6 linked regions of the Nothobranchius furzeri genome follow. The protein of the gene in region 2 interacts with the protein of the main gene of each other region in a pairwise test. Links are inferred from orthologs where the notes say so. Each region holds a gene or a part of one and is shown on either strand. Other genes may lie near its edges.

Evidence for each region.
Region 1: the proteins of ranbp9 (region 2) and ppp1caa interact in a two-hybrid assay, tested with the Homo sapiens proteins (2 studies listed by BioGRID and IntAct). The link is inferred for Nothobranchius furzeri from reciprocal best matches to the Homo sapiens genes RANBP9 and PPP1CA.
Region 3: the proteins of ranbp9 (region 2) and mkln1 interact in a two-hybrid assay, tested with the Homo sapiens proteins (2 studies listed by BioGRID). The link is inferred for Nothobranchius furzeri from reciprocal best matches to the Homo sapiens genes RANBP9 and MKLN1.
Region 4: the proteins of ranbp9 (region 2) and ppp1cc interact in binary tests that used the Homo sapiens proteins (3 or more experiments, as listed by UniProt). The link is inferred for Nothobranchius furzeri from reciprocal best matches to the Homo sapiens genes RANBP9 and PPP1CC.
Region 5: the proteins of ranbp9 (region 2) and oprm1 interact in binary tests that used the Homo sapiens proteins (3 or more experiments, as listed by UniProt). The link is inferred for Nothobranchius furzeri from reciprocal best matches to the Homo sapiens genes RANBP9 and OPRM1.
Region 6: the proteins of ranbp9 (region 2) and disc1 interact in binary tests that used the Homo sapiens proteins (3 or more experiments, as listed by UniProt). The link is inferred for Nothobranchius furzeri from reciprocal best matches to the Homo sapiens genes RANBP9 and DISC1.

Annotation. Positions count from the first base shown.
Region 1 is NC_091745.1:8,621,978-8,626,142, forward strand, and holds the end of ppp1caa (protein phosphatase 1, catalytic subunit, alpha isozyme a), read right to left. Parts: intron 3,580-4,165; coding exon 3,448-3,579; intron 2,781-3,447; coding exon 2,550-2,780; intron 2,464-2,549; coding exon 2,359-2,463; intron 2,276-2,358; coding exon 2,052-2,275; intron 1,621-2,051; coding exon 1,486-1,620; intron 1,271-1,485; coding exon 1,154-1,270; 3' UTR 820-1,153; downstream 1-819. UniProt on the Homo sapiens protein: Protein phosphatase that associates with over 200 regulatory proteins to form highly specific holoenzymes which dephosphorylate hundreds of biological targets.
Region 2 is NC_091751.1:36,409,534-36,414,240, forward strand, and holds part of ranbp9 (ran-binding protein 9), read right to left. Parts: intron 3,212-4,707; coding exon 3,044-3,211; intron 2,014-3,043; coding exon 1,991-2,013; intron 28-1,990; coding exon 1-27. UniProt on the Homo sapiens protein: May act as scaffolding protein, and as adapter protein to couple membrane receptors to intracellular signaling pathways. Acts as a mediator of cell spreading and actin cytoskeleton rearrangement.
Region 3 is NC_091741.1:63,266,616-63,271,322, forward strand, and holds part of mkln1 (muskelin), read right to left. Parts: coding exon 4,613-4,707; intron 4,245-4,612; coding exon 4,156-4,244; intron 3,556-4,155; coding exon 3,446-3,555; intron 1,239-3,445; coding exon 1,046-1,238; intron 932-1,045; coding exon 815-931; intron 622-814; coding exon 556-621; intron 1-555. UniProt on the Homo sapiens protein: Component of the CTLH E3 ubiquitin-protein ligase complex that selectively accepts ubiquitin from UBE2H and mediates ubiquitination and subsequent proteasomal degradation of the transcription factor HBP1.
Region 4 is NC_091757.1:28,391,909-28,397,314, reverse strand, and holds the start of ppp1cc (serine/threonine-protein phosphatase PP1-gamma catalytic subunit A), read left to right. Parts: upstream 1-2,267; 5' UTR 2,268-2,576; coding exon 2,577-2,631; intron 2,632-3,155; coding exon 3,156-3,287; intron 3,288-3,466; coding exon 3,467-3,697; intron 3,698-4,379; coding exon 4,380-4,484; intron 4,485-4,701; coding exon 4,702-4,925; intron 4,926-5,406. UniProt on the Homo sapiens protein: Protein phosphatase that associates with over 200 regulatory proteins to form highly specific holoenzymes which dephosphorylate hundreds of biological targets.
Region 5 is NC_091752.1:24,311,402-24,316,108, forward strand, and holds the end of oprm1 (mu-type opioid receptor), read right to left. Parts: intron 4,042-4,707; coding exon 3,721-4,041; 3' UTR 1,228-3,720; downstream 1-1,227. UniProt on the Homo sapiens protein: Receptor for endogenous opioids such as beta-endorphin and endomorphin. Receptor for natural and synthetic opioids including morphine, heroin, DAMGO, fentanyl, etorphine, buprenorphin and methadone.
Region 6 is NC_091752.1:2,347,118-2,351,824, reverse strand, and holds part of disc1 (disrupted in schizophrenia 1 protein), read right to left. Parts: intron 4,262-4,707; coding exon 4,207-4,261; intron 2,794-4,206; coding exon 2,691-2,793; intron 2,515-2,690; coding exon 2,326-2,514; intron 1-2,325. UniProt on the Homo sapiens protein: Involved in the regulation of multiple aspects of embryonic and adult neurogenesis. Required for neural progenitor proliferation in the ventrical/subventrical zone during embryonic brain development and in the adult dentate gyrus of the hippocampus.

The sequences.
Region 1 (4,165 bases), on a different chromosome or scaffold from region 2:
CTTGCATTCTTAACAGTATGAAATATTAAATCTATTTAACTGTCAGTTTGTTATTGGATGACAGCTGTTTGAGTATTTCAGCTAAAATATTGCTGCCGCACACCAGCCCAGCTCTACAACAATCCCAAGTTTTCTTTAAATAATCATTTTCTTCGTTTCTAATGAACACGTCCTGATCAGACTGAAGCAGCAAGTCTCACGTCTCGGTTTAATCTGTGTATCATCCGGGCCAGAAGCACACCTGCCAGTATTTACATCATTTACATCCCATTTATAAAACAATTCTTCAAAGCTGCATTAGTTCAAGGTGCAGCAGTCAAAACCACAACAGAAACCAACCACTGAGCGACAGATATAACAAAGTGATAAGCATGATGGCGTATTCAAATAAATGGTTACTTTTTATTCATCTTCAGCTTCAAATAAACTAAAAAAAAGAAAGAGGAAAATAAAACCATACTCATTTCAGTTATCTACAAAAATAAAACAAAAATTAGGTTGAAGAAAAGAGCAACTCTACATCACATCCATGTCATCTCAAACGATTTTCAAGTTGGAAGAAGGAAAAAAAAATAAGTCATCTTATTGTGAATTCATCAAACTCGAGCATTAACCTGCACTTCTATAGATCCACCTGTGCCGTTACCTTCCAGCTGTGCAACCTGATCTATGATCTCCCCACACACACACACACACACACACACCCATCAAAGACATAAATGAATACGTGAAACATGATTTACAAAAGCATGAAAGTAATGCTGAACAGTGCCTGGCCTTAACATAATCAGTCAGCGCTGTGCTCTCCCACCCCTGCAGCCAGGCTAGGATTTACATGATGAGTGGGACAAACCCGTCTCTGCAACCAACAGAAAGACCAAGAGGAAGGGAAATAAAACGTACAGAATACAGCAACTCCCTTTGTGTCGTTCTCACATCTCCCTCTCACACACACACGTAAATAACCAGATAAACGTTTGAACTTTGTTTTAGAAACAAACAAAATATATATAACACACGAATGAACATTGGACACTGGTCGTCTTTGTTGCCATTCGGTAACTAAGAGAAACAAGATTAGGAGGTAGAAAAAGAAAAAGAAAGTTGGGCCAACAGAGGGTGAAAAGGTTGTAGGAAGGGAACTCAGCAGGTGTTATTTCTTGGCCTTAGCGGCCTTGGCTGAATTTCTTGGAGGAGTGACCGGTCTTCCTAATCCCACTCCTCCTCCTCCTCCGAAAGAATACAATTTCTTATCTGCTGGCTTCAGAATCTGCAAGACAGATGAAGGAATGATCCACATTAAAATGGCAAACACAATTTCTTCTAATTTAAAGTCCCAATTTGAATATTTGTCAAGTTCAATATGTTAAACATCCGTTTGACAAGGAGCTAGGAAACACACACACACACACACACACAAATGATACGAAGATCACTCAGCTAAGCTACATGGAGCAGTAACAAACAGGCCGTGTGTTTACCCACCTGAAAGGAGCACATGAGCGTCTCGTCCACACTCATCATGGCACCAGCATTGTCAAACTCTCCACAGTAGTTGGGCGCTGAGAACAGAGTGACGAGTTGCCTCTTTGCGAAAAACTCATAACCATCTTCCACGACCTTAGCACAGAAATAAAAGTGTCAGAACAAAGACTAGTAGGGTTTCTCAGGTCCAGGTGAGAACGATTAAACATAATCAGGGAAAAAGATTTTCCTCCCCGACACGTTTGTGAAATGTTTGAGTTGCAGTTCTTACATTACAGTTGTACTTGAGCTAAATTAGGAACTACCGTACGTAACCTTTGTGTGCCCCTGTGAAGGGTGCATCCCAGTAAAAACACGAGGAACATAAAAGTGACTCAAGTCCGAATGAATCAGTGCTAGAAGAATGAAGAAGCCACTAGAGTCCTCAAAGGATTAAATTTACATAGATGACGCAATATCACAGCGTGTTGACTCATGTCCCAATAACACCCCCACAACAAGCAGAGATCAAAGTTAACAGGAGCAGAGCTTTCCTGGCGAGTTACACAAAACCACTCAAACATCACCTGGTGCGCCCTGCATATTAGGTCCATGTCATGTTTGTGCAAAAATTTGGCCACCACATCTGCTCCGAATGTGAAGGAGACGCCACGGTCGTTTTCGCCCCAACCCAGGACGTCTTTGTCTGGATCTGCCCACAGCAGGTCACACAACAAACCCTGGTCAGGCACGTCTGTGGGTCGCATTACTCTGCGGATCTGCTCCATGGACTGGAGGTCCGGAGAGAGGCCTAAAGACGACGCAGAGAGAACATCAGGTTTTGTTAGTCGTTCATATTTCATCATCCGTAAAGCACACGTTCACTAGCTCTACCTCCGTGACAGCAGAAGATTTTCTCATCTACAATGGCAGCCACAGGTAAACAGTTGAAGCAGTCTGTGAAGGTCTTCCACAGCTTTATGTTATACCGTCGCTTACCTACCAGCAAAGAAAAAGAAACATTTGCAGCATTTGTACAACCAACTCTGACTTGTTCATTATTCACAGACATCTTTTGCACTTACACTCATCATAAAAACCATAGATTCGATTAATAGAGGCGCACTCGTGATTGCCACGCAGCAGGAAAAAGTTCTCTGGGTATTTGATCTTATAAGCTAGAAGCAGACAGATGGTCTCCAGGGACTGCTTCCCTCTGTCCACGTAGTCCCCCAGGAACAGGTAGTTGCTTTCAGGAGGGAAGCCTCCGTATTCAAAGAGCCGGAGGAGATCATAGTACTGACCATGGACATCACCTGCAGGGGGCAGCAAAGAAACACCATGTCAGCGTTACTGTCATTTATGAGGAAGAATCCTATTTTTAACTAGCCAGCCTTTAAGTGGACCGTACCAATTCTGAAACTCTCATTCCTTTTATTAATAGAAAAAGATAATTTAGAGTCTTAGTGATATAATCTCCCTAAAATATTCTTTTGGTTTTTGTATTGTAATTGATCGACTTGCTATTTAGACAATTATGAAAAGAAAAGCTGATGAAGTTCACACAATAAAACTATTTTAAAGCTTTAATAATAAGGTCATTAATGGACGTGTTGTGCAAGACGAACTTGTCCTTGTCGCCAGATTAGCTGTGAACTTTGGGTGTGATAACCTACATTGTGGTTGTCTGATCAAGCAGAGTTTGGGCTTCGAGTTGCTCCAGAGGACTTTAGGTGACAAATACTATGACAAATGGTAGGATGTGTAATATGCTGAAACCCAAACAAAAGGCAGCCATTGTGTAAACCCAGGATAAGACTTCAGCCAATGGAGGAACATGTTGTGTAAGATTTCCTTTATGTGAGGAGAAAAAGTCTAATTAGCTCCTGGTTTATGAGCAATAACTATTAGGAGGAATAAACTCAAAATAAACAGAAAAACTATAATTTTACATTCCAGCCCCTAATTTTTACAAAAACTCACCACATATTTTTAAAGGAGCTTCCAGTTCCAGCAGGATGGGCTGGCTCAGGAAGATCTCACGGGACTTCAGGCAGAGGCCGCGGATCTCGTTCTCCGTTAGCTGAACATTCTTTCCTGGCCGAGAGCCTTTGACTGGAGGAGGAAATAGGAAAAAGAGAGATGTCACTTATTTTATGGAAGAAACATCACAAGTGACACACAGCAAAGCTTGGATTTTGAACCAGACCACCAGACTGGACGGTTAACACCTCCCACCAGCCAAATGCTGTCAAGTTCTGTTAGCGGCTCAGTCCAACAGTCATTTCAGCAGGTACTCACAACATTTAGAGGTAATATTGTTCTAGAAATGAAAGAATTAAACTCCTAACAAGTAAGTAAGAGCTTAGGGGGCACGATGAGCAGCATGTAACGGCGTGCTCAGCCTCAGAAGCGGCTTTGTTTTGCTCGTTTTGAAGTTGATGTTAAAACCGAAGCTAAAAGGCGTAAAACCACTTCCTCTTCATGTTGATGCTGCAGCAGAAATGCTGAAAACACACAAGTCAATTTCCTGATAGATAAACGCTTTCGACACATAAAATATCAGAAATGTAACTAAATAAATGACTGAAGTAAAAATGTTACTAATAAATAACATTTAGGAAAAAATGAGTGTTTTCTTTTTGTAAACATATTAATGCTTCCTCTAGAATTCTGCAGGTTTTTTCAAATGTTTGCATGT
Region 2 (4,707 bases):
AAGGCCGACGGTCGGGTACAAGTTAGGCTGCAGGAGAAAGGGAGACAGGGTTAAATTCAGGAGCGAAGGAGGGAACCGGGAGAGGAAATTAGTCTGTACCATAAATCAAAACAGGAAGTAATGACTGAGAAAACAGGAAAAAGGAAAATCTAAGGAAATAACTTTTGCTCTATCATTAAAACGTTAGCTAAAGGAGACAAAATGAGTTATTGTGTAATTAACCCGCCAGTAAAAAGGATTTTCACAAAGATTTAGCAAAAAATAAAATAAAAAAAAATATCCATCAAGGTGACCGACGGCCTGGTTTGTTTATTGGAAACAATGACTCAGCGTTTTTATTGCCAGGTGCTGAGATTTCAGACTCCAAACACTTTTTGGCACTCGACGTTCCAGTCTATTGTTTTAATCTAATCTTCCTGTCGCCACAGTTTCCTCCCCATAGATGTTGTCTCTGAGGATCAATAGTTCCTCAAACTGAACTCCAGTTTGGTTAAACGCCAACTGGTGAAGATGAACAAGCAGAAGCAGCTTTTAGTAGAAGTTTTAAATGCTTGTTGGGAATTTTCTATCTAATTTATTCTATAAAATTATATTTAAAACTCAAAACATGCTAGCCTGGCAAGCCAGATTAAATAAATGGCCTAACTTTGCTAAGCAAGAGTTTGGTCTAGTTCTCCAGGCTACGGACATGCAGAAGAACATGTAACATAAGCCGAATCGACATTTACACTCATAACTCGCTACATTACACAGTCAAATATCCACATCCTGGACAGCTGCGGGCACCAGACTCACACCCGTGACTTCATGCTGAGACTTTGATGGTTTTTCTGTGGCTCTAAAATGTTCACAGAAACACAAACTGGGTGATTTGTTTGGTTTCTGATGGAGGAAAAAATACACATGTATGAGCTGTAAAGAGCAGAGCACGTGTGCGAGGCAAGGATTGGGTCAACCAATGGATGTAGTCCATTAAAATCACTTAAAGAAAATATGCAACAAAGCTGTGTGTGTCTCTCAGGCTCGTCTTCGTCACTGCTCGATAACCACAAAGGTCAGCTGTGCCGAGGTGACGCACTTCACTGTACATCTCTGGAGGAACATGAATATCAGGCTCACAGCCAAGGCTGCTCAATAGATTATTGTTGTGGTTAAGAGTCTTCTGTTCGCTGCTGAAAAAACAGTCAGCCCCTGTCTTCATTTGCATCCCAGTCTGTAGAAGGTGGAGAGAAACTTTGCTCTCAGCTCAGTTAACGCGTGCATCAGTCCCACTGGGTATGGGAAGTGTTCATGTGTGGAGCAGGGTACGACAAAACTGACATGATGGAAATATCAGAACTTTATGGCCCCAAACTAAAATATTCAGAACAGCAAACAGCGCTCTTATGAACATCTATAACAGTTTGTGAGGGTTCTCAGATTTTGAGTCTCAAGGCTGTTTCACTTGAATTTTGAACATATTCAAATAATCCACTAGAAGTAGATGTTGAGTGGAACCATCTCAAGTTCTTCTCAATTTAGTTTTTGTAGGTCAGGTGTTCAAGACGACTTTGGGAGAAGCTGAAGACAAAATTGCAAATAAATATGGCAAACAAAATGAGACAGAACTCTGAGACAAAAGCCAGTTACACATCTTCATCTCTTAATCATTAACATATGACATGAATGATATACAGGTTAACTCTAGTTTCTGACCAAAAACAGACCACAACATTACGACCGGCCCGTAAAGCATCTTGAACTGACTTTAGAAAAGTAACATCTTTTCAGTCGCTTCAACAATCAAACATTTGAACCTTTCCGGTTTTTCACCCTTTAATCAGATTTTTTATTTATTTATTTTTTACAGAGTAAACACTTCAGAGGAAAACTGAAACACTTCTCTGAATCAAGTTGTGTCTAATGATATATAATCGAGATAATGAATAATGATGATGATAAATAATGGAGACTAAAGATAAATCAAGGGTAAACAGAAGTGGCTACTTACTGGTAAGTCTGTGAAGGCGATACCTGCAAGAGAATAAAGGCAAGAGTCAGAATGAAGTGAATCGTATCTAAAAACAACAGAAGGCCAGAGAGTCTGTGTTCACAGAAGATTAAATAACCAGGTTATTTCTGCAGAAACCTGATTTAATTAGTCGTGTAAACCAGGAAGGAGGTTTCCTGTAGCTGGTTTACATTTTCGGATTTAACATCCAAACACCGATTTCAGAGCAGAGGACAAAAGAAAAGTGTTTAAAATTTAAAAAGCTGCAGTTTCCTTTCTGCTCTCTGTCTCTCAGATGCAGCGAATACAGGAGAACAAATGTGACTTTTGCTGTAACAGATTTTTCTGTGGAATTAGCTTTTAGCCTTCTGGACATAAAATGTTCCAGATTTTTATTTTTTTCCCACCATTTAATTTTCTACAATATTTATTGGAAATGTTATAATAAATGAAGGAAAATTTCACTGAGCCAAAAACACGTTCAGTGAACTCACTGTGACACGACGCCCATGAACATGTCAGCTCATCCTTGGTTAAATGATTTGTGGCAAAAAGCAGCAATAAAAAACCTCATGGTGCTTTTTAAGGTTTAAGTTTAGGAAAATAAAAACAACCCAGTTGTAAGATGCTCAGAAAAAACATGTTCATCCTTGTTAGATGTGAATTCATCTGAGAAGAATCCATTATTGGGAGGAAGGTGAGCAAAATAAATCCAAAGTGAATTAATAAATGACAATAATAATACTGTATAATAAAGGGAATGACAACATTTACTCCATTGCAGCAACCATTAACAGAAATTAGAGGTTGAGCATCTTAATTTGTGTTTCGATAATGAACATAGCTCTTCATTCAAATATTGTTTTATTAGATTCGATTTTACTAGATTAACACGTGCTCCATGTAAATACACACACATCCATTAAATAAAGAACTGATCCAGAACCAGAGGGCAGCTTGATGATTTCCATTTTCACTTTTCATAATAAAAATCATCCCTTTAACCGAGCACAAATCTGTACCGAAGAGCCCTGCGGCTTCGGTTCTGCTTACCTAGGCTGTGGCCGTTCTTTGTGTAAAAGCAGGTGTTGTTGATGAGGTTAACGCAGCAGCCAATCACATCGCCCGTTGTAAATGTAGGTCCGTAGGGTTGCCCGGTGCCAGAGGAGCAGAAGGAGTGGCCATCGTCTCCGTGATAACCATATGAGTGCTTGTCCCAGCCTGAGAGCAGCAGAAAGGTTCAAAAGGAAACTTTATTGTTCATAATCCTGATGACAGTACCACTGCTGTGATTAAAGCATAAAAATACACAAGTTTATAACACAGAAACAAATAAATTGGTCTTAAATTTAAAAACAATCTGCATGATCTTCCCAGGAGAAAACGGCCAGAAACGAAATCTGGGAAGGAGAAAGGGATCGACCAACATTCCTACTGAGGATGCATCCAAAACCCTGCACTAATGTCCCCCAGACTCCTTTGTGCCTCTGCAGGGTGTGCTTTGTTAACGTGAACAGAGCAGAGTTTTAACTCAGGATCTCATCTGGGCACTCAGAGAAATCAGCTGAACACACATATAGTGGGGCAAAAAAGTATTTAGTCAGCCACCGATTGTGCAAGTTCTCCCACTTAAAATGATGACAGAGGTCAGTAATTTACATCATAGGTACACTTCAACTGTGAGAGACAGAATGTGAAAAAAAAATCCATGAATTCACATGGCAGGATTTTTAAAGAATTTATTTGTAAATCAGGGTGGAAAATAAGTATTTGGTCAATAACAAAAATTCAACTCATTACTTTGTAACATAACCTTTGTTGGCAATAACAGAGGTCAAACGATTACTATAGGTCTTTACCAGGTTTGCACACACAGTAGCTGGTATTTTGGCCCATTCCTCCATGCAGATCTTCTCGAGAGCAGTGATGTTTTGGGGCTGTCGCCAAGCAACACGGACTTTCAACTCCCTCCACAGATTTTCTATGGGGTTGAGGTCTGGAGACTGGCTAGGCCACTCCAGGACCAGGACTTTTCAAATGCTTCTTACGGAGCCACTCCTTTGTTGCCCGGGCAGTGTGTTTGGGATCATTGTCGTGTTGGAAGACCCAGCCACGTTTCATCTTCAAAGCTCTCACTGATGGAAGGAGGTTTTGGCTCAGAATCTCACGATACATGGCCCCATTCATTCTGTCCTCAACACGGATCAGTCCTGTCCCCTTAGCAGAAAAACAGCCCCAAAGCATGATGTTCCCACCCCCATGCTTCACAGTAGGTATGGTGTTCTTGGGATGCAACACAGTATTCTTCTTCCTCCAAACACGACGAGTTGAGTTTATACCAAAAAGTTTTACTTTGGTTTCATCTGGCCACATGACATTCTCCCAATCCTCTGCTGTATCATCCATGTGCTCTCTGGCAAACTTCAGACGGGCCTGGACATGCACTGGCTTCAGCAGCGGAACACGTCTGGCACTGCAGGATTTAATTCCCTGCCGTTGTAGTGGGTTACTGATGGTGACCTTTGTTACTGTGGTCCCAGCTCTCTGCAGGTCATTCACCAGGTCCCCCTGTGTGGTTCTGGGATTCTTGCTCACTGTTCTCATGATCATTTTGACCCCACGGGATGAGATCTTGCGTGGAGCCCCAGATCGAGGGACATTATCAGTGGTCTTGTATGTCTTCCATTTTCTGATAATTGCTCCCACAGTTGATTTTT
Region 3 (4,707 bases), on a different chromosome or scaffold from region 2:
CGCTGGAGATAGGCACCAGCCGCCCCCCCGACCCTACGTGGACTAAGCGGGTTCAGAACATGGATGGATGGATGGATGATTGTATGAGAAACAGAACATGAGAAATTGTATGCTTAATATAAACAAAAGGGTTTAAAAATGATTTGGTATTGCAGATAAACAAGTCGTGGGACTGGTACATGGCTTGTCTTTTTTTTTCTTGATTTCCTGTATCAACTTATGTTGTGTCCTCCAAACAAAACACAGCTGTCAGTGTGTGGTCAGAGACAAAGCAGCTCAGAAACGAGCTGCAGACGCTGCATCACTAACCCACACACACTAGCCTTTTGTTTTCTACAGATAGGCAGCAAGGAAGTACCAAAAACATGGAGAAAACACCCCAAACTAAAATCGCGTTGCTGTCAAAACAGATGTTATAATGTCTGGAGAAGCTGGAGGTGACGGGAGCGAAGAGGAAAGTCTAATCTGATTAAACAGACAGATATTTGCATTTTGAGTTTGTGGAGGAGGAAGTGAGTCACAGTAAATTCATAACACCGTCTGCGTAGGTCTCACCAGTCTGCACGTCAATGACCATTTGATGTCCTCCCCTCATCCCTGGCCTGTTGTCGTCACCATCACCTGGAACAAGAGGAGGGAGGGGATAAGGAAGGGGAGTGGAGTGGATGGGGGATGACAGAGAGGAAAGTGAGGGAGTGGAATAACGGGGGGGGGGGGGGGGGGGGGGGTGGCGCACACATAAAGGGTTAGATGTTGTAGCTGCTCTCATGTGACTGAAATGTTTAACGGACGGACTAGGAAAAGATTGTCTCACTGTTCACGTCGTCTCGGCTGATTTCTTGGCTGCTTGTCCCTTTGTTACACTTTGGGATGATCTGACTCCATCGAGGCTTGTACTCCTGCTGGCTGATGTACTGATTAAACAAGCCATCTTGTAAAGGAAAGAAAAAGACTGTTTAAGTAGAAATAATGAAAGGCAGAACAGCATATCTGCGGTTTTCTGAGTAGATCACACCAAAATACATTTTTAAAAGTTTTTATTTACCTCTCACAGCTTTATCTATGAGCTCCTCGCAGGCATCAAAGTCTCCCTGTAAGACCAGTCGATCGTGGAGATGAGTGAGCATCGGGTGCTCCAGAGCTATCCGGGTCTTCTTCTGCAGCGACTCGAAGGCCTCGGTGTAGTTGTGCTGCCTGAAGTGTTTGAGGCAAAGCCGGATGGCTTCCTGTTCTCTGTACTGAAACCACACAAATGAGGCTAATCTGTATAAATCTGTACTTTAAACATGTTCTCTGTCACCAAAAGGTCCCTTTTAGTACTTGGGAGATACCAAATAATACCAAATAGTTTTGAAATTCATAATAAAGTTTTAAATGTCAATCAAGAGGACCTATATCAAAATAAATGATCAATGTGTAGAAGCTACCAATCAATGTTTTGGACATCTTGAGAGTTTTTTTTAAACTAAAACACTAGAAGACAACTGGATTCTGTGAGGTTTTTCTGCATAACTGTATTCAAACTCAAAATAGCAAATTAACTGTAAACAAACCACCATCATGATAAAAATAAATAAAAATCAAGTAAATAAGTTTATATACAGCAGGGTAATGAACAGCTGACCCTGGTTTTTGCTTCCTGTGAAGAGGCCACCTGTTAAAGGCATGTCAAGTAACTTTTTATTAGTTATAAATGATTTTTTTGAGCCAGTAGGTGATAAATGACCCTTCACAGGGCGAATCAAAAGTCTCTCAGCCCTCTCTGCCCCTTGTGAACAGGATCCTTGTGAACAGTATCCCCCGTCTGAATGTGTGAGACTCGAGGGCAGTGGTCGGAAGAGGCAGACGCTGCACTCTTTCTGGCAATCAGACGCCTCAGAAGAAACAAAGAAAACATTTATCTGGTGAAGCTAAGAAAATAAAAAGAACACCCGATCACAATAGAAGTCAAACAAGAGTCAAACACTGGAGTCTTCTGAATAGCAAGAGCTCAGACACGCGATTCCTGTATGTTGTACATCATGAACACAGCTGATCCGTTTGATTTAGTGATAACTGCTCCTGTAGAAACTAATGAAGGCTGAGGAGACATTTCAGCAGTTAGATTAAGGTGTTGAAAACTCAAACGCACAGCAAGGACAAGGGTTTCAGTTTTGTTTTTAACTACAGTGAATTAAAATGAACACTGGGGTACTAAAAGCAAACCAAAACTGCTAAATTTCCCTTTAACCTGAGCCTTTTCACTAGACTGGTAATAAACGCTTTTACCCGTGACCTCAGCCACACCTCTCTTCCCGCCTGGAGAGTTTCAGACGGGAAACAGCTGCAAGAGTTCCAAGCAGCTGGCACCGCAGGAGAATTACAAGATTGCACATGATTTTGCCCGTTCACGCGTGTGTTTACCTCGACTACAGAGGTGTCACAGGTAATGACGTTTTTTTTTTTTTTTACTAGTTATGCAACAGGAAATCTGCACGTCTTTTATTTTGAAAGTAGCCAGATGTTTTACACGGTTTGTGTTTGACTTTCTGTCTGGCCCTATCAGAACTGACACGTACTTGACGAAACGTTCGTAGAGACTGTCCTTTATTCCCTCCTATGACCAAAATTTAGAATGTGTGTACAAACAGTCCGAAGACGAATTTAAGAAACACGCGGTGGCCTCTCGTACGCCCGTTCCCCCGCAATCGTCTGATGATAAATTCCATACATGATAAATTGTGGAGTAACGGGTTATGGAGTCGTTCTGTTTGGAGTTATTTTTATTGGAATTTCGGTCTGAGAACACAGCCTCTTCACAACGGTCATTCAATCTGGTTACCCTGGCAACGCAGAGTGTATGATCGGAGAGCAGAGGAGGTTCTGGAGGGTTCTCGTAGCTGTAAAATAAAATATGAACTGGAGTTGGATTTGTGTGGTTTATCTCTCGCGCCACAAAGACTGCCAAATAACAGCATGGCAGGATTTCCTTTGAGATCAGTGCGCTGAGAGAACGCGTTCCCTCCAGAGTGAACGCTCTGTTAAATCCTCCAAAAACACAGATCAGCCATGATATAATGTCAGATTCCTGTCGGTCACAGGTGTCTTTTATTGGCTTTAGCACCAATTATGCAGTTTTTCCACCGACATAATTACACACTGGATAAATAAAATGTGTGGATGAGGAGCACGCATGGATGACTGAGAACTTCAGAATTACAGTTCCCCTGTTCTACCAATAGATGCTGTTCCTACCCATGGTCAGAGCTGTTCTTATATTTAGGAACATGTTTGTTCCCACCATCGACATTAATATTAGGTTCCCACGCACCAAATACGCACAGATCTGTTCGTAAGTATGGTTGATAAATGAGGGCCCAGGTGTGTCACCAAGTATTCTAACAGTTTTATTGTCATACCTGCTGATTAATCTATCACATGAATGATTTAACGCTCCAGGTCTCACCTTGCTGTACCAGTTAAGGCAGGGCTGCACCACATCAGGGTCTTCAATCCCATGAAGTTCAATGTACCAGATGCTGAAGTTAAAACTTGGACCCCAGGACATCAGAGGCACTGAGACGAGAGGTGATAAAAAGTTTGACAAATGAGTACCTAAGCAAAACACGAGCACTGTAAACAGGGTATCTGCAGGTTTAAGGGGGCCAAATTTAAGACTTTTTAAGACCTTTTTTGAGGCCCCTTTGACCAAATTTAAGCCATTTTTTTAAAATGTCATTTAAGCTATAATTTCCAGCTATTGCCTGGAACCGGTTCTAACCACGTCGCGAACGTGGGATTAGCCATCCAGTTACCATTAAACTTGCACTTCCCCATGATGCAAGCTCCCACTAGCTTAACCAGCTAATGTGCTCATCTAAAAATAGCCCCCTTTCACAACCAACTGAATGTGTACGGTTCCACTTATGCAAATATGACACACATAAAATGCTGAACACTAACTAGAAATTCACGAAAATTTTATAGAAATAAAATAATCTTGTTTATTGGGTCTTTGGTAATTTAAGACCTTTGGAAACTGTATTTAAGGATTATTTGTAATTTTTAAGGATTTTTAAGGCCTTAAATGTGGAAAAGCTAATTTAAGACTTTTTAAGACTTTTAAGGACCCGCGGATACCCTATGTAAACTTATTACAGCACACACAGCCCTTACCTATTTTTACAAATCTGCAGGGGAACATCTGCTCGTCAATCTTGTGCTTTAATGTGAATGTCTCTTTGTTGTAGTCATTCTTAAGGCCACTGTCAAACAAGAGTAAAGATCATCAATATGAAGCAGCAACATCAACCCTGTGCCATTATGGATTGTTGCACTGAATTAGTCATTATCACACCATCCCTGTGGGGAGCGTTGAGCTGCAGCAGTGGCTGGGCTCGGGAACTATTTGGTGGTTTAACCCCCCAATCCAACCTCTTACAGCTGAGTGTATCCAGTCCCCCACCACCACCACCTTTTTTTTTTTTAAAGAGTCTTCGGTATGGCGCGAGCGGGATCTGAACCCTGATCTCCCAGTTCCAGGGCAGACTTTACAATAATCCTCAGAAACCCAAACAAAGACTGCTCTGCTGTAATCACACACCAACGGATCACATATGTAAGAACACCTTACCTGGATAAAAGCTCTGTCATGTTCTCTTCACTCATCCCACCAAACACTTTGAACTTCTTCAGGTTGCAGACATGAGTCTTTTCATATTTCCCAAA
Region 4 (5,406 bases), on a different chromosome or scaffold from region 2:
GGATGGATGGATGGATGGATGGATGGATGGATGGATGGATGGATGGATGGATGGATGGATGGATGGATGGATAGATAGATAGATAGATAGATAGATAGATAGATAGATAGATAGATAGATAGATAGATAGATAGATAGATAGATAGATAGATAGATAGATAGATAGATAGATAGATAGATAGATAGATAGATAGATAATCTTTACTGACAGACTCTTCGGTCCAGATAAAGAAAAATATTAAACAGCAAAACATTAAGAACAATAAATGAAACAAAACAGGTAAAAACAAATAGAACAAATAAAAATTATAAAAGCATAAAAATAAAATTAAAATCTATTTTTAAAAACTTACTACAGAGATGTTCCACACGATTAAGAGTAACCACACAAACACTGGGTATTTTGAGTATGATCTTTAAGGCATCGTTGTGTGCAACGTGCAGCTTATTCATGCTGCTGTGATTGCAGGATGACCGCAGTTGGGCTGTATAAAGCGGAGTACAATATGCTTTAAATAAAGCCACCTTAACTGGAGGTGAACAAAAACCAAACTTACGAGCTATAGTATTAGCTTGTGCATACAGCTTACAGCACTGTCTGTGGATGTCAGCATCACCACGCATTTGATCAGTTATAAAGTAGCCAAGGTATTTCACCTTCTCACACACATTAAGATCACTATTAGACAGTTTGAACACAGGAAAGTTTAGCTTTTTATCTTGCTTGGTTCTACATATCAAGATAGCACTTTTAACAGCATTATACTGGATATCGTACTGCACACCATATTCAGAACAGATATTCAGGAGCTGCTGTAAACCAGCACTACTTGGACTGAAGACCACCAGGTCATCAGCATACAAATTAAATAAGATAGACAGAATTCCACCCTGCCTAACACCATTACTAACACCAAATGGTGCAGAGATGCTGCCACCCCATTTAACCTGCATCATCTGATGAGCATACCAGTAAGACAGGATTCTCACAATAACCCCAGGGACCCCCCGTAGCTTTAACTTAATAAAAGGTTTTCTGTGGTTTACACGATCAAAAGCCTTAGAAGCATCAATAAAACACATAAGGACAGAAGAAGTTCTATTTCTATACCGGTTCACCATTTCTTTAAGTGCGTATATACACATGTCAGTACCAAGTTTTGGCTTAAAGCCAAACTGATTATCCAAGGAATTAAGGTACACAGTGATTCTATCAAATATGATTATTTCTAGATAAAACACTGGCTAGTGCAATCGGCCTATAATTATCTATACTGGTCACCTTCCCAGATTTGTTCTTAATAACTGGGACAAGCAGAATTGCCATCATTGAGTCTGGTAGTATGCCATGAATCATAAACCCTGTAAAACAAAGAGCTAAAAGGGAAGCTAGCCTTAGGCTAGTATATTTCAAATGTTCTGCACTAATGTGATCCAGACCACAAGCCTTGTTATCAGCTAGTTTGTGAATAGCTTCATGCACCTCATGGGTCGTTAAACATCTATATGTTCATCATTAATAACAGAGCCATCCTCATACCGATCACTTTTTAAACAATTTTACATTGCATAATAATGTTGTCTCCATAATGCTGCAATATTATCTTTCCCATTGATCTGCTATTTTTTAAAAGTGCATTTTAATTAATTACTCCATAATTATCTTGTAATAAGCTGATGTTCCCTTCAGATAAGAAAATATAAGTCAATCATGCAGCTTTTCTATTTCATAACGAATCAAATTCTACAGTATAATATGTAAAAAGAAACTTTCTTAATTTACATAGGTGTGTGTGTGTGTGTGTGTGTGTGTGTGTGTGTGTGTGTGTGTGTGTGTGTGTGTGTGTGTGTGTGTGTGTGTGTGTGTGTGTGTGTGTGTGTGTGTGTGTGTGTGTGTGTGTGTGTGTGTGTGTGTGTGTGTGTGTGTGCAAATTATGTATAAATTATATATTTTTTCTTTTTCTTTTTCACCCTATGACAAGGCCCAGACAGACATAAATACATTTCTGAACAGATTGCTCTTATAAGACGTCTTGATATTCCTGGTAAATGTGAATATCTGCCATGACACTTTCTGCTGCTTCTCCGTAGACATGAATGTCTGTGTGCTACCCATCGACATGTGCATATACTCCAGGTGCCACCTGCAGCTTTGTCGTGTTTATAATAATATGCTCAGGCGTTCTCACATCCAGACCAGTAGGAGGCAGCAGCGGTTTAGTTAGCAGCAGCTAGCTCTTAGCAGCTAGTTAGCAAGGTGCGGCAGCGGAAAAGGAAAACAGACTGGTCTCCTCTCCGCGCTAGCGCAGCTTACGTACATTTTTATGTCGCGGTTTTTATGAAGACGTACACTAGATTTTACTGAGAACAAATATTGCGATTTTTTTAAGTAGCTTATTATATTTTATGAATTATTAGCCAGCACGTAAACAGATACTGGGTTGATCTGAAATATTTCACGCTAAACCGGAAAATCAATATCGCTAAGACGATAGCTAATGCTAGGATAGCTAGCGGGTTAGCTCTCCGAACTGAAAGACCTACCTTTGGCTGAGTTCATTTAGTAAACGACTGCAATGGCTGATGTTGACAAACTCAACATAGACAGTATTATTCAACGTCTTTTAGAAGGCAAGTATGTTCATAAATGTTGTACATTTACACAAATTTTGACGCTTTACAAACAGGCAGCGCATTATATCATGAAACCCGTTTGCTAATGTTTTCCGTTATTATTGGTTTTACTCCCGAATTGACATCTAATGTGTTTTAATTGTAAATTTTCAATATAATCAAATGACAATGAAAGATTTGTAAAAACAGTTACTAAACTATATTAACGTAGTTGCGCATACCGGCGCTAGTCCGCCTTTGCGTGACCTATGATTTTAGCCGCTGCTGCTGGCTTTTATTCCTTCTCATCTACAGTAGATGATCTACTATTATACATATGAACATGTTTACTATATTTTAAACCAACAAAATAAACTTCGTAACGCTTGTCCCGATAGAATATAATAGTATGATGATGCATCTCGTACAAATACGTATGTTACTTCCTACATTTCCAAACAAATACTGCATCAGGCACTGCTGACAAAGCAGCAATAGTTATGTTGTTTTTTTGCTGACTGATGTTTGTGTTTTCTCTGCAGTCAGAGGAGCAAAGCCTGGGAAGAATGTGCAGTTGCAGGAGAATGAGATTCGTGGATTGTGCCTGAAGTCCAGGGAGATTTTTCTCAGTCAACCCATTCTTCTGGAGCTGGAGGCCCCTCTCAAAATATGTGGTTAGTAAAAACCATCATTTTTTTATTTACTGTTGCTTATTAATAAACGTTTTTCTCTTCGAGCTAGATTCTACCAATTACATAAATGTCAACATTTGATTCCAAAGTTAAAAGCTTGCTTGTCCAGTTTTTGCAGGTGCATTATTTATTTATTTATTGCTGTTTGTTTTGTTTTGCAGGTGACATTCATGGGCAATACTATGACCTGCTGAGGCTGTTTGAGTATGGAGGCTTTCCTCCAGAGAGCAACTACCTGTTTCTGGGCGACTATGTGGACAGGGGGAAGCAGTCTTTGGAAACCATCTGTCTTCTGCTGGCCTACAAAATCAAATACCCAGAGAACTTCTTCCTGCTGAGGGGAAACCATGAGTGTGCTTCAATCAACAGAATATACGGTTTCTATGATGAGTGTGAGCAGCTTGCCATTTAATTGTGTCACTGTTTGGTCTCTTGTGTGAACTTGCAGCAGCTTTCATGTTGTTAAACGTTTACCCCGGGTTTCCACGGGAGCCGTCAGCAGCACGTTACTGCAGCAGCACGTCTTGCTCGCGTAAGCTGCTGCTTGGCCCTTCCCACGAGACGCGAAGCAGCAGGGGAGCAGCTGTCACCGACAGAGCACGAAGTCACACGAGTGACTTCGTCAGTAAACACAACAACAAGCAGGAGAAAACTACAACATGGTTTGGGTTTTATGTTCTGTCCGTTTTATAATGGCCAATACGGACCTGAAAACAAAGGAGACCGCTAGCTAGGTGATAACTTCTCATGGGGACGCACAGTTAGTAACCTTTTTTAAAAGTAAAGCAACCGGAAGGCAGTACGTTCTTTATTCTGAAAATCTCTGTAGCTTCTCTCCTTTTCCGCGTCAGATTTCCTGTCTTTCCTTCCCCAAAAATGTCGAACTTGACCCGTTTCAGAGGCGTCGCGCGTAGAAAATAGAACTGGCGCGTAAAGGCTGCGACATGCTGCTCCTGAGACGCGGCCGACTCGCGCTGCTGACGGCTCCTGTGGAAAGCCGGGGTTAGTGAAAACTTGAATTTTTGTTGCTGTTGTGCCTTCAAAATAAAAGCATAACTATTTGTCTTGTTTTAGGTAAACGAAGGTACAACATCAAACTCTGGAAGACCTTCACGGATTGTTTTAATTGCCTCCCTATTGCTGCCATTGTGGATGAAAAGATATTTTGCTGTCATGGAGGTGTGTTTTGTCTTTAACAGAATATTGATGTTTAATCAGAACGTTTATGTTGCCTAGTGGAAAGCAGCTCGTCAGAAGAGGCTTGGCTTTGACGTCAGCCGTTCTTATTTGTCATTGTGAAATGATGTTGACTGGTGTTTGCAGCGACCCATGTGAAGTAGGTCTGACCTCTGTATCAGTTTGTTTGTTTGTACAACTGCTGTGTTGTTGCTTTCAGGACTGTCACCTGACCTTCAGTCGATGGAGCAGATCAGACGCATCATGCGGCCCACGGACGTGCCTGACCAGGGCCTCCTGTGTGATCTGCTTTGGTCCGATCCAGACAAAGATGTTTTGGGCTGGGGCGAGAATGACAGGGGGGTCTCGTTCACCTTCGGCTCAGAGGTGGTTGCCAAGTTTCTGCACAAGCATGACCTCGATCTGATCTGCCGTGCTCATCAGGTAACTGTGCTCACACGGTGGTGCATGGACATCGCGTCCTGTGCTGGCAAACTGTAGACTAAAGAGGAGGCCAGGTGCTCTTCTTACATTATGATCCCGGTGGGAAAGGAGGATTGTTCCTCTCAAATGGAGGGAATAGAAGCTAGCTCTCATTCACTCCTCCATGAAGGTCCTGATAATGTAAACAGAGAAGCATAAAACAGGATGTTAGCTGCAGACTGAAACAGATCCTGTTCAACTCATCCGCTGATTAATGTGTTTATGTAAGAACACACATAGTAGTGTTGTGTTTAGATCAGTCATATGGCTGAAGCCTGCACCTACATGCATGCCTCTCTGTCAGCCAGATGCTAAATGGTGGAGAGTTTTAATATTTCTGTGGGTTTTTTTTTAGTATTTGGTCTTTTTTCTTGTTTCAGATCATTCAGAGCGTGGACTCAGTTAAAAGACAGGAGGGTTTTATGTGAAAATAAGACTTATT
Region 5 (4,707 bases), on a different chromosome or scaffold from region 2:
ATAAAGTCTCATAAAAATACTGGCTCACTGAATGCAGTGAAGAGAGAAACTGGGAAATAAAAGGCATCTTGCACAACGATACGCGACAACACTTAAGCAGTTTTACAGATGACACCAGATGTCCAGCTCCGATAGGCTCACCTGTTAGGCTCCCCAGAGGAGAAATGGCTCCTCCTAAAGCCGCTGTAATGGCTGTTAAACGGAGGTTAATCATACACCGTGTTTGCTCTGGATCTTTTAACAGTATGCTATGTGTGCAGTTCAAACAAGCTGATGCATCTTGTTTGCTGGTTTGGAGCACCCACTGTTTGGCACTAGCGTCCGCTGTGGTGGACACAGATGATTTCCTGTCTGAACAGGAGAGAACCTAGAACTCGCCATATCATGCTTTCAAAGGCTTTATACACCTCAAGTTGGATTGAAGAATTATGTATCGTCTGAAGTGAGGAGCAGAAATGGACCACTCCATAATTCTGAAGTGACCCAGGTCCAGCGTGGTGCCAAGCCGATTGGTGTTAAACTCTGAGGTCAACCCCTGTTGCAGCTGCACAAAGGCTTGTGGAAAAGCACAGCTGATCCCAATGACTGTCAACTGCACTTTCTGCTCAGAAAAGTCCCCGCGCAGGCATAAAGCCTTGGAGCTTTTGAGTGAAGGAACACTTGAAATTCACATTTTTAATAACTCACCGTGTTATTTTGACATGTGGTAATATTTAGCAATAACTTCTGACAAAGGAATGGCATTGAGTTATGAAGGCAAATGATGGATCTGTTGGCAGAACCTGGACGAAGCAGCGATGTTGAAGCAGATCAGCGAGGCAGAGTCTATAAAAATCATCATATAACCAGAGAGCAAAAGACATTTTAGTGATAAAACATTAGATTTTTTATACTGCCTGGAACATCCTTCTTCTTATGGTGGTATTTTTAATAAATATTTAATTTAATCTAAATATTTCATGCTGTTTTTAATTTGGACTGCCGAGTACAAACAAACATGCAGCCACGCAGCTTCTGAGCACAAGTCAGCAGGTTTCCAGCCACCATGAAATGTGCCAGCCACCTTTGTCCAAGTGCACGTGTGGTTTTTTGTTCCCCCGAGCGTGGGATTAAAGCCCCGTGGTGACCTGTGTGAGTTCTGAGTTGAGATCATCGTTGGCAACGCCACCACGACAGCGAGAGTCCATCGACGACCCCTCCAAGGCTAGTCATACCTGCAGAGGGAGAACAAAGTGTGTCCGTGTCAATTCAACCAATATTTTCACTCTAAAAGTGTTGCAATTTACCACAGTGAATCGTTTCTTTCACAGATAAGTCCATAATATTACTGATAGGGGAACTCATTGTCATGTTACACTGTCAAAAAATCTTAGATTTTACGATAAAAGAGCCCTGGGTGGCCTTTTGGCAACAGAGGTGCCTATTGGGGCCAGTGGGGGAGCTGGCTCCCTGGAGGGCTTAAGCCCAGCCAGCCATTCCTCCCCATACCCACACATTTTTCTCCTCCTGCTCCCTCACATCATCACACAAACATGCACATAGGACCTTGGGGGGGTGGACAAGTCAGGGGGTGCAGGTATGGACCCCATTTCCACATTCCTGTGGCAATCTGCCCCCCAATTTTATTTGCACCATAAACACTTCCACCAACGACATTCCACGCAAACACTTGGGGTCTTGGGAGTGAGCACATTCAACGGCATTTGGCAGGGGGATTTTTCAGCCTCATTCTGAGTGCTGGTGCCCACTTCCCATTTTAAACTGCACTTAGACACTAAGGGCTGTGGGTGCAAGTGGGGTGGTGTGGTGGCATCAGCTGGCGTAGGCTAGACGATGCCCGCGTTGCCCGCTCACCACAGCCATGGACTACACCTCATCAACATGCACTAACACTATATTGGAGCAAGCGGAGGGAGATTAGGGGTCTTAGCACACCTCTGTTGTTGCTTGGCTTCCCGGAGCTGGAGGCTAGGAGGGGGATCTGGCCATCTGGTTGGGGTCTGGGGTGGTGGGTTGCTTTGCTCAGTGTTGGGCGGGGGAGTCTGCTCATCAGCATCCCAGCAGAAAGGGTCGAACTCTGGGAACCGGTAATGGTTTTACCCCATGTGCAGCAGTACCGGGACCAGAGTGAATAGGGTGTGTATGGGGAGCATGAGTGGGTGTCCGGCATGCATTTTTGTAAGTCTTTGGTTGTATGTGTATGTGTGAGCATGAGGGAGGGAGTGTATTACTGTGTCTGTGTATGACTGTATATGTCAGGTGGGGCCTTTGACTCCTCCCTCCTCCTGGGACTTCTTTTGATGCTATACATCTTCATCTCCCCTCCCCCTGCCACACCTGGTGTGGAGTGTGGTGCCTTGGTCTGCCTGAGTGTTCGTGGTTAGGGGGTTTAAGATTTTTGGTGTCTGCCTGATCAGTCCCGGTGGCTGCCTGGTGGGATCTGGGTCCCTGGGCTCTGCTGGGTCCCCGGCGGGGTTGGTCGCCCCTGGGTCCTGGGCTCGGCTGGCTGGGGGGTGGGAGGCTGCGGGCGGGCCTGTGGGCTTGCCGCTGATATCTCACAGGACTCTGCCGGATGCTGGTTGTGGCCCCCCGGGGCAATCCTCTGCGCCTCTCGAGGGGGGCAGGGGCTTTTCTGGTTGCAGTCTCCCTGGGGTCCCTGCACTCTGGGGCAGCTCCTGGATCTCTGAGACTTGGAGCTCCTACACATCTTTGGGGGCAGATCTGTGGCCCCTCACACTCTCTATTGGACGCTCCTATAGAGAAACCTTACATATGCAAGCGCGGGTACGCACACAGGTGCTCACATGGTGCTCTCATAAGTATGGACTTGGGCACGTTCAACACATGCCTTGAGGCTGTGGTTGGCACTTAATACACTGTGATTTATTATCGTGTGATTGTTCAGTAAAACATTGTTGATTTAATATTTTCTCATCAGGTTGATACAGTGATTGTTTGCTCCTGTTGTATTGTTGTGTGTTGTTTTTCTTTTTTTTCTCCTTCTGCAGGTCTAGAAGCAGACTCTTGTTCATCATTGATTGTTTATTTTGTGCCAGACTTCACCTAAATGCCGTTAAGCTCACTGGGAAACAGGAAGTAAATTCTCCCCAGCAACTGCTACAATTTTTTTTTGTGTCTCTAAAAGGCACGCGAGTGCCGCTACCAAAATATGTTGACTGAAACACCACAGAAGAAGTGAGCTTGTCACATGATCAAATTAATTTACTTAATGGCTAATGGCTAATAATCGTTAAGGGCATCAATAACTTGTTAAAGAAATCTTGGAAAATCTGCATCCCTAATGCTGTATAATCTAGTGTTTTCATGTGACATTAATGTAAAATTCACAACGTTAAAGGCCCAATGTGTGATATTTCATCTTATAAGTTATCAAATTTCTTGTATCACATTCTCAAATTTGTTTTTTTTTAATGATAATTCAAACAAGCATTTATTCTAAGCATTATTATTAGCTTTATATTTTAATATTTTAGACAAAAGAAGCAGACCGGTGCTCCATATGGCATGCGCCATCTTAAAATACAGTGACCTTTTAGGGACATACAACATATTAAGCTTCGCATTTGATGTTTGCGTTTTTAAATGATGTAACCTCAAAGAAACAGCAGGGGGCAGAAGTGCGCCTTGTAAGCATGCAGTCTGACAAAGTAACTAAGAAGAAGAAGAAACTAGCCACACCGTACTTCTAGCGATGGAGGATCACACATATTCTACAAGCAAACTTGAGAAACGGGATAGTTTGAAAGTGCTTGAAAGCGCCGATCTTCTAGACTTTATTGCAGCTCTGCCTCTTCCTCTTGTGCGTGGAACGTTGCGGCTGGTTTGAGCAAATTCGGCTCCTTCATCTTGGGATGCTTGCCCTGCTTCTGTCGCATGTCTAACACCTCTGCCTCTCTGTGCGCTGGCACACGTCTGTCCTCTCCCTCTTCCTCTCCCTCTTCCTCTCCCTCTTCCTCGCCCTCTTCCTCTCCCTCGTCCTCTGTCTGTCTTCACTGATGAACCATCGGATGATATCTGACTCTGTTTACGGAGAGAAAACAATTACAGACTACACTACCTTGTATATTTCCAAAATGGCAAATAGAAATATAACATTTCTCAAATAAAATGAACAAAATATTGTCATTTTTTGTAGTCAGAAGTCATCACTAACTAGCTGCCGTTTGCTATTAGCAAACATAACTGACATAAAAAAGTTTTTCTTATTCAAAACCTATTTAGATTAAATTAATAAAATAAGTTAGATGAAAACAACTAACCTGTTCGCTGACTTGAAAGCTGGAATTAGATGATGACATGCTGCCGTTTACAGCAACACGATTTTGTATTGTATTTGTTATATTTGTTAATAAAGTTTTAAATAATGATTAAAAAAACCCTTTTTGATCCTCGGGGGCTCCAATAGCTGCAATACCAACTATAAACTGCGTGGTGCTAAAGAGTCGGATCTTTTTACTATGATTTCTGTGAATTTCACACACGGGGCCTTTAAATTACACCATGTATCCGTTATCAGCAATTAAAAGCTGTAATGTTTTCAATTAATAAATGTAAAAATCATAGTGTTTATACCGTTGATGAAAAAAGCTGACGAAAGAGTGCTTTACTGTGGGAATATGTATTTTATTCAAAGAATTTATAAATTACTGTTTTCACCAGTGGCAACACCACATTAAATCAACAGTT
Region 6 (4,707 bases), on a different chromosome or scaffold from region 2:
TCATGGCTAAAGCTTTTCCCCTATAGACATTTGATTACGCACAAGTAGGTGATCAGCTCAGGTTTACGCAGAGCAGAAGGAAGGAGAGCGCTCTGGCCGCACAGATTAAACGTTCCTACTTTAAGAAAACCGTTAAATTGCATTGTTTATGTGCTACCTGGGCACTCTAAATATTTATTTAAAATTAAATCAAAGGAAATTGTAATGGTATCGAATGTTTATTAATTACTATTTAAAAAATGAAAGTGATGGGGAAAAAGGTCGATCATATTTTTTTTAACCCTGTCTGTTTAGCTTGACGTCTGATATCTATCTATCTATTTATCTATCTATCTATCTATCTATCTATCTATCTATCTATCTATCTATCTATCTATCTATCTATCTATCTATCTATCTATCTATCTATATATATATATATATATAGCCATGCCGTGATGTGTGTGTGTGTGGGGGGGGGGGGGGGTGCGTCGACATGGTCGGGACATAGAAGGGGGTGCGCGGCTAAATAAGTTTGGGAACCACTGATTTACTACAACTGATGCATAAATGATCACTTTTAGAAATGCATCTGAACAAACAGCAGATCTGCAACGAGGCGTGTGTTTATGACGTGGTCAACATGTGTATCTGCTAGAACTTTGCTGTGGAGATATAAAGAACAGGTCAGTGGAGTGATAATGGCGAGAGGGTTGGGTTTCCATCCTGAGTGACCCAGGATCGGTTGTTTTATTTGACACATTCAGGGTTCTCCTTAACCCTTATTACCTTATTTTCCGGACTATAAGCCGCTACTTTTCCCCCACGCTTTGAACCACGCGGCTTACCATGAGGTGCGGCTTTAGTCCACCAGAAAGGATGGATGCTGGAAAGTCTAATGAAGGAATGGTTAAAGGAGCGCTACGGAAAGCACCCAGGAGGGGTTTTTCACAGTAAAACGGCGCCGCTTGTTTTCCCAGCTTCACCCGGGATGATGACACGGACATCGCCACAGAAAAGGTGCGTGACGAAGCTCTTCTGAGGCTGCTCAACTCCGACACTGAAGAAGAAGATGACTTCAGTGGTTTCAGAGCGCAGGAGGACGATGAACAAACTAATCAGTAACTTTTCTGTTTTGTCTGATACTGATCAGTTCAGTTACGTTCAGTTAGACTACGTCTTCTATCCAGTAGATATCTGCGGCTTTAAGCCAGGTGCGGCTTATATTGAGGTGCGCTCTATAGTCCGGAAATTACGGTACAAATAGTTTTTTTAAATGATCGGTTACTCTGAATGTGAAAATAGTATTCCATCCCTGTTTCCTGCATTTCCTTCGAACAGAAAACACACGGTGAAACTCTAGAGTTAGTCAAGCCTGACAGATTCACGTCACACTGTCCTTGATCTCGACTCGCGACAGTTCAGCATCCAGGAAACAGCAGAGCACATTTTGACGAGTAGAAGCTAACCGTTAGCATTAGCACCACACAGCAGAACTCCTCCAGGCTTGTTTTATGTGTGGAGATAAAACATCAACGTTGCAGAGCAAATGGGGTCAGCGGTGGAGTGGCGTTGCTGTCAGCCAATCGCATGTCTACGTCGAGGTGTCCAAATATCGGGAAGTAAGAATCCAAATCATCATTTGAAGCTCAACTTTGATTTGGCTCACTTTTAGTTCCCGAAACAGGTGCACTGGAGGATTTTCTCTCCAGCGTGTGACACGAAACGTATAACTAGAGATCACTGCCAATGTTTTAAATAAGCGTGGAGGCAGTAGCGGCGGGGGTTTAGAGGAGCCACGCGGGATGCTTGAGCTGACAGAGCGACAAGTTTGGTCATTCTCCTTTTTTTGGTGGTGCAACAAGAAAGTGAAAATAAAAAAATGGACATGTTATTCTTCATATTTTTTATTAATTTTATAATTTTTGGGTAAAAAAATTCCGCCAATTGGAGAAACAAAAGGTTGCGTGGCTAGACTGCTTAAAACTAGAAAAAACATCATGTTAGATTTATTGGCTGGTTTTTAGCGTTCTAGCCAAGCAACTGCTGCTTACCTCATTAAATCAAAGTAAGCACGTATAATCTGTCGGCGTTGGTGTTGTAGTGGTGTTTTTACATCAAAACATTCAGGCAGTCCGCAGGGAATTCTCTGGGTGCTTGTTTGTTGTTAATAAAAGGTTTTCATCCTTGTATTGGTTTAAGTTGGGAAGGAAAGTAAAGCATAACAGTTTGCAGGCATCTAGTTAATGACCAGGTGAGCTCTTCACTATAGAAGTGTTGAATCACAGGAAAGAGCTGTTGATTTTATTAACATCCTGTTACCTGCAGGAGGCCTCAGAGACTCACCGTGCTGCGCCTCCCTCTGCTCCAGCTCCTGCCTGAGCTGCTGCCGCTGCTCCTTCATCCCGGCCAGCTCCTGGCTGCTCCCTGAGCTGAGGCTGTGCAGCCTCTTGGCCAAAGCCTCCAGCCGGTCCCGCTCCAGGTACACCGCCTTCATCTCAGCCTTCAGCTCCTTGGCGCTGCTGAAGTCATTACCTGCGCCGGTGCACCACAGGAGGGCATTACACTCTCACCGCCTATTAATGAGCTTCTTGAGCATTAATGGGGTAATCAAGCAAGGCTAATGGTGAGCGATTCGAGCAAATGGGGTAAATGAAAGGATGCGTAATGTAGCAGGGAGGTTTTGGAGGTAAAGCTCAGTGGAAAGTTACCAGAGATGGCTGCCAGTTTGGCTTCATGCAGCGCCAAAAGCTGCGTGTCGGTCTCGCTGACTTTTCTCCTCAGGCTGCTGCCCAGCCTCTGACTCATGACCACCTGGGGATAAAGAGGAGAAGAAGATGCAGAGGAGTGAGATGGGGAGGGTGGTAACTAGCAAAACCTTTGCACAGGCATGGATCCCACATGATGCACTGCTCATTTCCTCGTCTGCCTTCATTTTCTATCTGAAACTCATTCTTTGACGACCTTACAGGTTTATCTGCATTTCAGCGTCTGTTCTGCTCTGAATGCACAGCCGAGAATCATCTCTCCTCATCAAAAACCTCTAGAGATGACACAAAAGGCTTATTTTCATATAATATATGGACTATTAGAAAGTCAGAGCAGGTTTTTGGGATGAGAAGCTGCCGCTCAGAGCAGAATTTATGGAGTTTTTTTAAAGATCCGATCCATCCACTCTGCTCCTAAGCATACACACTTTTAGCTGCATTCACATAAAATCCTCGTTTCTTTTGAAGAATTGTTTTCACACCTCAAAGATACCTAGAAGTGGATCTTCTTATGCATTTATTCCTCTTCTGGAATCTGACACAGTTCTGCACATGGTTGTCAAATAGATTGGTATTTCACAGGCAGAACATCTCCAGGGAGGCTTTTTTTTCTCTTTCCTCCCACAGAAATAAAGCAAAACAGGCTTGAAATTTTTGACTTCATGCAAGAAGCTCTGTGGAGCACTTTCTGCCGTCTGTAGAAATTCTGACACCGACGATTTCATTTCCAAACATCAGGCTTTGTCAATTTTGCAAAAGCGGAGAGAATGAGAGTCACTTTCATGCCGGGAATCGTTCCGTCACAGCAAGTGTGCCGTTTTCCACATGGTGGGTATTTCATTTAAGAACCAAACTTTTCATTCCTAACATAACAATGGAAACTCTTGCGACTGGTGGAAGTGCGAACGTTGCTTTGAAGTGCAGCAAACCGGTGGTTTGATGATGGGTTTCTAAAGGACACGTGACCTCTCATACCTGCTGTTTGTAAACTGCAATTTCTTACACTTTTTTGCCTTTTTTTTTCCAGCTGCAGAAGCTTTATTAGCATAAAAGGGGAACGTCCAATCCCTGTGGAGCAAATGAGAGTAAACAAAAACACACCATACTGACCAGACTTCTATTTTTACTTTATTATGTACTTCCTCTACTCAAAAGAAAAAATCTGACAGCTTTATCTTTAACATCCCTATTTCACTTGGGAAAAAAAAGCTGTTCAAAATGGCACATCCTGCTGCTTCTGACTCCAGCACGCAGCGGTGAAGAGATCACTGCTTTGTCAAATCAAAAAAGATCACAAGAATGCAGACTGACATTTAGTTTGCATTTTGAGCACTCCGACAGTGGCACTTACTGTCTGCTCTGACTATTAGGCTTTCATACACATTCAGTCACTGTGGGCAAGCAGCGAGGAGGCTGAGCGGTTAAGGAAACAAATCAGGTGAGAGGAGCAGGGGCTTACTTTAGCTGTAGCTTCCTTGATGGACAGGTTTAACACCTGCTCCTCCTCCTGCAGTCTGCAAAACAGGCAGAAAATGTTCAAAACAGAAGAAATAATCATTAATTCATTAGAGTCAATCAAACAGTTGTTTAAAAGCAAGAGAAAATCAGAATCAGAATCAGAATAAGCTTTATTGCCAGCGCTCCAGCGACCCAGTGCATAGGAACTTGAGTCCGCAAACACAACCTGACCAAGGTTAAACAGACGCACATGTAGACAGAAACAGGTACAGGCAGTCACGAGAGCAGCCAGAATGGCGCTCATTTCATTAGATGGAAAGGGTGTTGCATGAGGATAATTGGGGTAAGGTAAAAAAAAAAGGCATAAAAGAGTTAGACCCAGCGGGGAGTAGCTCTATTATACAAAAAAAAACTCCTCAACATAGAAGCACGAACATCACAGTTACAAAACGTCAGAGTCCGATGGGGAGGCGGGGTTGGGCGGGATCCTGAATCCTCCAAC